Linked DNA regions of Xenopus tropicalis. The protein of the gene in region 1 interacts with the protein of each later gene in a pairwise test. Links are inferred from orthologs where the notes say so. Each region holds a gene or a part of one and is shown in the gene's direction. Other genes may lie near its edges. The genes, in order: klhl40 and c7orf31.

Region 1 (4,339 bases):
CAGAGCATTAGAATGATCCCAGGGCTAGACCAACCTGTATCCAATCAGAGCATTAGAATGATCCCAGGGCTAGACCAACCTGTATCCAATCAGAGCATTAGAATGATCACAAGGCTAGACCAACCTGTATCCAATCAGAGCATTAGAATGATCACAGGGCTAGACCAACCTGTATCCAATCAGAGCATTAGAATGATCCCAGGGCTAGACCAACCTGTATCCAATCAGAGCGTTAGAATGATCCCAGGGCTAGACCAACCTGTATCCAATCAGAGCGTTAGAATGATTACAGGGCCGGAAGGGCCCCGCCCTGGGGTAGTTTGATTCATGGCAAGAATTTTAAACTGCAGGGCCCTTACTGAGCTCCTATTTTTAGCCAGCAGCTGTACATACCGACGGCCATAGCCGGCATTAATTATAGCCCCCACATCACTGCCTCACTATCTGCCAGCGCTCTAACAGGACTCTAACTCCCAGCCGGATTAGCAGCACTCACACAATTGGTACAGAGAGTCCTGATACAGGAGCCCCGCCCCCTCTGCTATCTCTAAATGACACTGTTACACAGCAAATAATTCCCTCTGCCATTTAACCTTTTATTCTTCAACCAATAAATGTATTTGTAGCTGTAATATTGGTGTGTAGGCGCCATCTCAGTGCCTTGTGCCTGAGTCTGAGCTTTCAGCCAGCGCTACCCATTAGAACTGCTTTCAGCTAACCTATTGTTTCTCCTACTCCCATGTAACTGGAGGAGTCCCAAGCCGGACTTGGATTTCTTACTATTGAGTGCTATTCTGATACCTACTGGGAGCTGCTATCTTGCCCCCTTCCCATTGTTCTGCTGATCGGCTGCTGGGGGTGAGGGGGGGGGGATATCACTCCAACTTGCAGCGCAGCAGTAAAGTGTGCCTGAGTCTGAGCTTTCAGAAGGAGCCAGCGCTACACATTAGAACTGCTTTCAGCTAACCTATTGTTTCTCCTACTCCCGTGTAACTGGAGGAGTCCCAAGCCGGACTTGGATTTCTTACTATTGAGTGCTATTCTGATACCTACTGGGAGCTGCTATCTTGCTCCCTTCCCATTGTTCTGCTGATCGGCTGCTGGGGGTGAGGGGGGGGGGATATCACTCCAACTTGCAGCGCAAGGTGACAGTATGCCTATTTCTGTCAATGTGGCCATCATGGGCAGTTTTTGGCTCATTACATTGGTCCGAATGCTGTGAATCGTTTCCCTGGAAAAGCCGTCAGAGGCTTCTCTGTAACGAGGAGACAGAAAAAAAAGGTCCATGGGGGTGATGAGTCACGATCCGGCGCAAATTCCTGGTGCTTCTAGTCGGCCCGGGGCAGCTGTCCCACCAGGGAGCTCAATGTGTCAGAGAGTGATCGTCTTACAGGGGCTTTGTAATGGGGCTGTTCTATATAAAGACTCGCAGCTGAAGAGCAAAGTCAGCTGGATAAGCAGGAGGCTTCCAACAGGAAAAGAAATTCCTCCTTCCCTTCTGATTCATTCACTCTTTGCTGTAACTCCGACGCTGCCCGAGCTCTGAGGGCAAAGGAGAACCAAGCCATGGCCTTACCGACCCAGCAGGCTGATGAGTTGCGCCTCTACCAGCAAACTCTGCTCCAAGATGGACTCAAGGACATGCTGGACCACGACAACTTTATAGACTGTGTTCTAAAGATCCAGGGCAAGGAGTTTCCCTGCCACCGCCTGGTGCTGGCCGCCTGTAGCCCTTACTTCCGAGCCATGTTCCTTTCCAACCTGGAGGAGGGCAAGAAGAAGGAAATTGACCTAGAAGATGTCGATCCAGACGTGATGGGGAAGATCCTCCATTATATCTACACTTCTGAGATCGAGATCACAGAGAAGAACGTCCAGGACATATTCTCGGTGGCCAACATGTTCCAGATCCCCTCGATATTCACAGTGTGTGTGTCTTTCCTCCAGAAGAAGCTCTGCCTTAGCAACTGTCTGGCCATATTCCGCCTGGGCTTGCTGTTGGATTGTCCCCGTCTGGCCGTCTCCGCCAGGGACTTTGTATGCGACCGATTCCACCTGATTGCCAGAGACGAAGAGTTCTACGACCTTTCCCCCGATGAGCTGATTGCCGTTATCTCCAGCGACTCCCTCAACATTGAGAAGGAAGAAGAAGTCTTTGAGGTGGTCCTGAAATGGGCGTTGAAAGAGAAAGAAAAACGCGCCAAGGCGTTGCCCATCATCTTTGAGAGCATTCGCTTCCGCCTTATACCCCAAGACTATATAAAGAACAAGGTGGAGAAGCACGAGTTGGTCAAGTCCGACAAGGAACTCTTGAAGAAACTCCAGATGGTCAAAGACGCCCAAGAAGGAAAATTACCTGCGGCCGTAAAGAAAACCCCTTCAAAAGCGAGTGAGGGCAAAGATGGGGAAGGCGTAGTCAACGGGGACTTGGAGGAAGAGGAAGAAGCCCTTCCTGGAATTCTGAACGACACGCTCAGGTTCGGCATGTTTCTAAAGGATATGATATTCATGATCAGCGACACTGGGGCGGTGGCCTACGACCCAAGCGCTAACGAATGCTTCTTCGCCTCACTCTCCGCCCAGATCCCCAAAAACCACGTCAGCCTGGCCACTAAGGAGAACCAACTCTTTGTAGCTGGCGGCCTTTATTATAATGAGGAAAACAAGGACGACCCACTGAGCTCTTACTTCCTGCAGGTATGGTCTTTAGTCATTTGTGTTGATTGGGGGAGAGTATTGTGTATATATTTACCCCCCCCCAGTATAATCATGGGGTAGAGGGAAGGGGGGTCACTGCCTGCGCTTTGTCTCCTGGTGAAACAGTAATGTGGTTTCTACCAAATATAGGGTTACTATAAGTAGGGGTAAGTAGAAGAGGTATGTGCCTAGGTGCAACGGTTGAGGGAGGTGTAGGGACATACTGTACCTCTTTTCCCTATCCCTAGTTCCACCCCCCCCCCATTGCCTACAGCATTACCTCCCGCTTTGGGTGCTGGGCAGACTTCCCAGAGGCTATTATCCCCCCACTGCTACTATAGGCACCATCTCTCCCTACTATACCTGCTATCCCACAGTCCCAGTCCCTTCCCAGAGGCTATTATCCCCCCACTGCTACTATAGGCACCATCTCTCCCTACTATACCTGCTATCCCACAGCCCCAGTCCCTTCCCCAGAGGCTATTATCCCCCCACTGTTACTATAGGCACCATCTCTCCCTACTATACCTGCTATCCCACAGCCCCAGTCCCTTCCCCAGAGGCTATTATCCCCCCACTGTTACTATAGGCACCATCTCTCCCTACTATACCTGCTATCCCACAGCCCCAGTCCCTTCCCAGAGGCTATTATCCCCCCCACTGCTACTATAGGCACCATCTCTCCCTACTATACCTGCTATCCCACAGCCCCAGTCCCTTCCCAGAGGCTATTATCCCCCCACTGCTACTATAGGCACCATCTCTCCCTACTATACCTGCTATCCCACAGCCCCAGTCCCTTCCCAGAGGCTATTATCCCCCCACTGCTACTATAGGCACCATCTTTCCCTACTATACCTGCTATCCCACAGCCCCAGTCCCTTCCCAGAGGCTATTATCCCCCACTGCTACTATAGGCACCATCTCTCCCTACTATACCTGCTATCCCACAGCCCCAGTCCCTTCCCAGAGGCTATTATCCCCCCACTGCTACTATAGGCACCATCTCTCCTTACTATACCTGCTATCCCACAGCCCCAGTCCCTTCCCAGAGGCTATTATCCCCCCACTGCTACTATGGGCACCATCTCTCCCTACTATACCTGCTATCCCACAGCCCCAGTCCCTTCCCAGAGGCTATTATCCCCCACTGCTACTATAGGCACCATCTCTCCCTACTATACCTGCTATCCCACAGCCCCAGTCCCTTCCCAGAAGCTATTATCCCCCCCACTGCTACTATAGGCACCATCTCTCCCTACTATACCTGCTATCCCACAGCCCCAGTCCCTTCCCAGAGGCTATTATCCCCCCACTGCTACTATAGGCACCATCTCTCCCTACTATACCTGCTATCCCACAGCCCCAGTCCCTTCCCAGAGGCTATTATCCCCCCACTGCTACTATAGGCACCATCTCTCCCTACTATACCTGCTATCCCACAGCCCCAGTCCCTTCCCAGAGGCTATTATCCCCCCACTGCTACTATAGGCACCATCTCTCCCTACTATACCAGAACAGACTATACCTACTATACTAGACACCTAGTATCTAAAGAAGTGTTCCATTTTGCACCACCAATATCAGATAAATGATCAGAGAAGTGGGGAAAGGGGGAGTTTGTAAATTAGATGGGGGCCAA
Region 2 (3,821 bases), about 32 Mb from region 1:
TTAGGTAAGAAAAGACACACATCCATCAAAGTTCAACCTTTTATGTCTATTCAAAACCTGCCTAACTGCTAGTCGATCCAGAGGTAGGCAAAATACCCTTCTGAAGCCTCTCTAATTTGCCGCAAAAGGGGGGCAAAAATTCCATCCTGACTCCAAGATGGCAGTCGGACCAGTCCTTTGATCAACTTGTAGTAACAACTGATTTCAGTAGCCCTATATTTCCTGCCTTGCTAAAAAGCCACCCATCCACTTCTTAAAGCTATCTAATGTATCTGCCAGTACAACTGAGAGAGAGAATTCCACAGCTTCCACGTTCCATGTTCTGACATATGAAAATGGAATTTCCTTTCTTCTAATCCCAATCCTAATTTGGTCAGTTTTTCCTCATAACTAGCACTTTTCATACCCTTTGTATTCTTTACTGATCTATGGATTTTCTCTGTTTCATTAAAATTATTTTTAATGATTGAAAATCAAAACTGCGCTTCATATTCATAATGGGGCCTTACCAGTGTTTTGTAAAGATGATCCTTTAGTCTTTTTAATCTATTCACCTTTTAATACAGCTCAAAACTTGCTGGCACTTACTACTGCTGACTGGCTAGCTTGTTCACACAAGTTTATTATCCACAAGAATACATAATATATTGCTTACAGTGTCCACCTTAAGTAATTAATGAAATAATTAAATGAAATGGGACTCAATAAAAAATCCTTCCTCTGTTTTTTAATGAATATTTCAAACTGAATTGTAAAATCATGTAATCAGGGCCCACTGATTCATTTTATTCTGGAATCCTAGATTGTTACATTTTGTTACAAGTTGAAAAGAACCTGAACTATATAAATAAAGTTGTTGAAATGATGATTTACAGCTATGAAGAATATCTTTCCAAGTTGAGCACACCAGCGAGGCTTCCATGGGGAAGAGAAAGAGAATATGGGGGAATAGGTCCAGTGTGCCTTCCGAACAATCACAGACCAAAGGCAGAACCTCCTCCTCAAGAAGCCAAGGGGCACAAGCACTATGGCTATGGGGGAGACCCCTGGCCAAGGTAAATGGACATAACATTACACAATGCCACCTATTTGCTCAGCAAATAATAACAAATAAGCGCAACAATCAAATTTTCTTCTTTTGAAGCATTAGTATCAGTTATAGTGAAGATAGCATTAACACCCCTTAGATTAATCCAGTGTAAAACAAATATAATTTAATACTGTTGCAGAATTACGGGTACCACGGGTTTCACTAAGAGAAATAATACAGAGAAATAGTCATTCTTTTGCACTGCAAATTAAATCAGTACCTGAGACAGGAGGTATTAGCAGTAGACTTAACCTAGCTAATAAATTACTTAAATACTGTTATTACACAATTAGCCAGGGCCGGAACTAGGGGTAGGCAGAAGAGGCAGCTGCCTAGGGGTCAACTATTGGCGGGCGCCAGGTGGGTGGCCGACCAGGTTGACTAGGGCGCCCGGTCGGCTTGGCCCGCCCCTGCAATTAGCATCCCTATTTTAAATTAATACTCAGTTTTACACATGATTTAATAATCACCATTTATTAAATGGTCATATGTTAGCTTTTTGTCACATAATGACATGGCTGTGCAAGAGAAAGTTATTGTTGGCGAGCTACACTGTCCTCTCCAAAGTCAGATGGGTAAGGTTCAGAGAAACACTCATCTGGGAACACTGCCTTGCACTTGCTGTTTCTGCGCCTTGCACCTCGCCCCTCACACTGGATTTTTTACTGGTGCAGGGTGCAGAGGGCACCCAGCCTATGGACGCAAATGTTCTCAGAATAGACGCTAGGGGCGTACATTTGCTCCCTTTAGTGCTCTTGCACTTTGTTTCCAGGGTGTCTGTAAAAGGTCCCCCATAAATATTACCTGTACAGCAGGTTGGAAAAACTATAACCAGTAAGTAAGTAATGATGTAACAAATCAAGCTCAGCCTTTACTTGTCACTGCATACATATTATTCTGGTGTTTGTTAGAATTTCCATGTCTCTATTTACAGAGGGCTTCCAATTGAGCAGTACTACGACATAACCCAGCTGAGAAAGAGTGCAGTGCGTGCCAGCGATGATTTGTAAGTAAACAGGTCATCCCATGAGTCAGTCACTGGTTCATAATGTACTTTTCCTGTGAATGGTATGTACCTGCATGTACGATCACACTGAACATAATTATAATAACTTTAAAGAATCTATCTTTATACTTACTGTGCATGTACTTTATTTAAATACTCAACAGTTGTCAAACAGGTTGGCCCTGTTAACTTGTAGTGTTATAGTGTTAACTTATAAGGGTCATGAAAGTGAAATTATTTGTGGGGAGGTTAACTTTTAGTTAGTAAATTGCGTTAACTTCCACTTTGCTTTTTTGCAATTCATTGGATTACTGTAAAATAAATGGACCCAATAAAAAGAGTGAGGGGAACATAAAAAGCTGTGCTGGGTTGTTGGAGAGCAGCTCTGTCTGTTAGCACAGTGCTAGAGCCAAGCAGATTCAGATCAGCCTTCATATTCAGTTCCCCCTTGGGCTGCTGGCCAAGCATCCTTCAAAGAGATGAGGAAGAGGAGAGCAAGAAAAGATATTTATGTGCTAAATTGCTTGTTCATTTCTATTTGCTGTTTTTTCAAGATATTTTGCTTTCATATTATTGCGTTTCAAGCCTGCTAAATATTTACACTTGTACAACCACAATCATTTTGTTTAAGTACGGTCTGTGCTCTTACACCATTCCTCACAAAACTAGTAATATTTTGAACATCTGCACTTTTTGCAGGGGCATGGCCTCAGGTTTATGGAGATGTTAAAATCTGCTGCATCACCATGTGTTTGCTATACCTCTTGTATTCAAGACTAAAGTTTAAATAATTCTAGCAGTAGTGGTTAGTGACTCAGCCTGTGAGCCACATCATTGTGCTTAGACACATGCCTCTTCTTTCTGCCCATAGTATATGCACAAAAACCGTTTATGAATGGTGTTAATGTGCACACAATCTGTTTTAGTGTGCTGCACTTGTGTTTGTAACATATATACTGGTAGTAAAAACGTAGTAACATAGTAAGTTAGGTTGAAAAAAGACACACATCCATCAAGTTCAACCGTAATGCCTATATATAACCTGCCAAAATGCTAGTTGTTCCAGAGGAAGACAAAAAACCCCATCTAAAGCCTCTCCAACTTACCTCAGACAGGAAAAAAATCCTTCCTGACTCCAAGATGCAAGTAGACTGGTCCCTGGGGGTATTTTCAATAACCCAATCTAATATATCAGCCAGTACGACTGATTCAGGGAGAGAATGCCATAACTTCAAGGCTCTCACAGTTAAAAAATCCTTTCTGAATATTTAGTTGGAGCCTCCTTTCTTCTAAACAGAGTCAGTGCTCTCGTGTCAGTTGGAAGGACCTACTGTTAAATAAAGCATTATAGAGATTATTATATGATCCCCTTAAATATTTAACATAGTTATCATATCACCCCTTAAATGCCTCTTCTTCAGTGTAAACAGCCCTAACTTGTCTTTCTTCATAACTGAGACTTTCCATACCTTTACCAGCTTAGTTGCCCTTCTCTGGACCCTCTCTAACTCAATAATGTCCCGTTTGAGCACTGGAGACTAAAATTGAATGCATATTCTAGATGGGGCCTTACCAGCACTTTGTAAAGTGGAAGAATAACCCCCTCCTCCCATTAATTTATGCCCCTTTTAATACAGCTTTGTTTGTACATTAGTCTTTTTATATTTGTCCTTAATATCCTTTTGGATCTGTCTAGAGAATCCTTATAAGTGGGGCTATTCCTTG

The links.
Region 2: the proteins of klhl40 (region 1) and c7orf31 interact in a two-hybrid assay, tested with the Homo sapiens proteins (2 studies listed by BioGRID and IntAct). The two-hybrid records come from large-scale screens. The link is inferred for Xenopus tropicalis from reciprocal best matches to the Homo sapiens genes KLHL40 and SPMIP4.

Annotation. Positions count from the first base shown.
Region 1 is NC_030682.2:9,354,314-9,358,652, reverse strand, and holds the start of klhl40 (kelch-like protein 40), read left to right. Parts: upstream 1-1,524; 5' UTR 1,525-1,566; coding exon 1,567-2,697; intron 2,698-4,339. UniProt on the Homo sapiens protein: Substrate-specific adapter of a BCR (BTB-CUL3-RBX1) E3 ubiquitin ligase complex that acts as a key regulator of skeletal muscle development.
Region 2 is NC_030682.2:41,121,888-41,125,708, forward strand, and holds part of c7orf31 (uncharacterized protein C7orf31 homolog), read left to right. Parts: intron 1-875; coding exon 876-1,055; intron 1,056-2,024; coding exon 2,025-2,096; intron 2,097-3,821. UniProt on the Homo sapiens protein: Microtubule inner protein (MIP) part of the dynein-decorated doublet microtubules (DMTs) in flagellum axoneme. May serve to reinforce and thus stabilize the microtubule structure in the sperm flagella.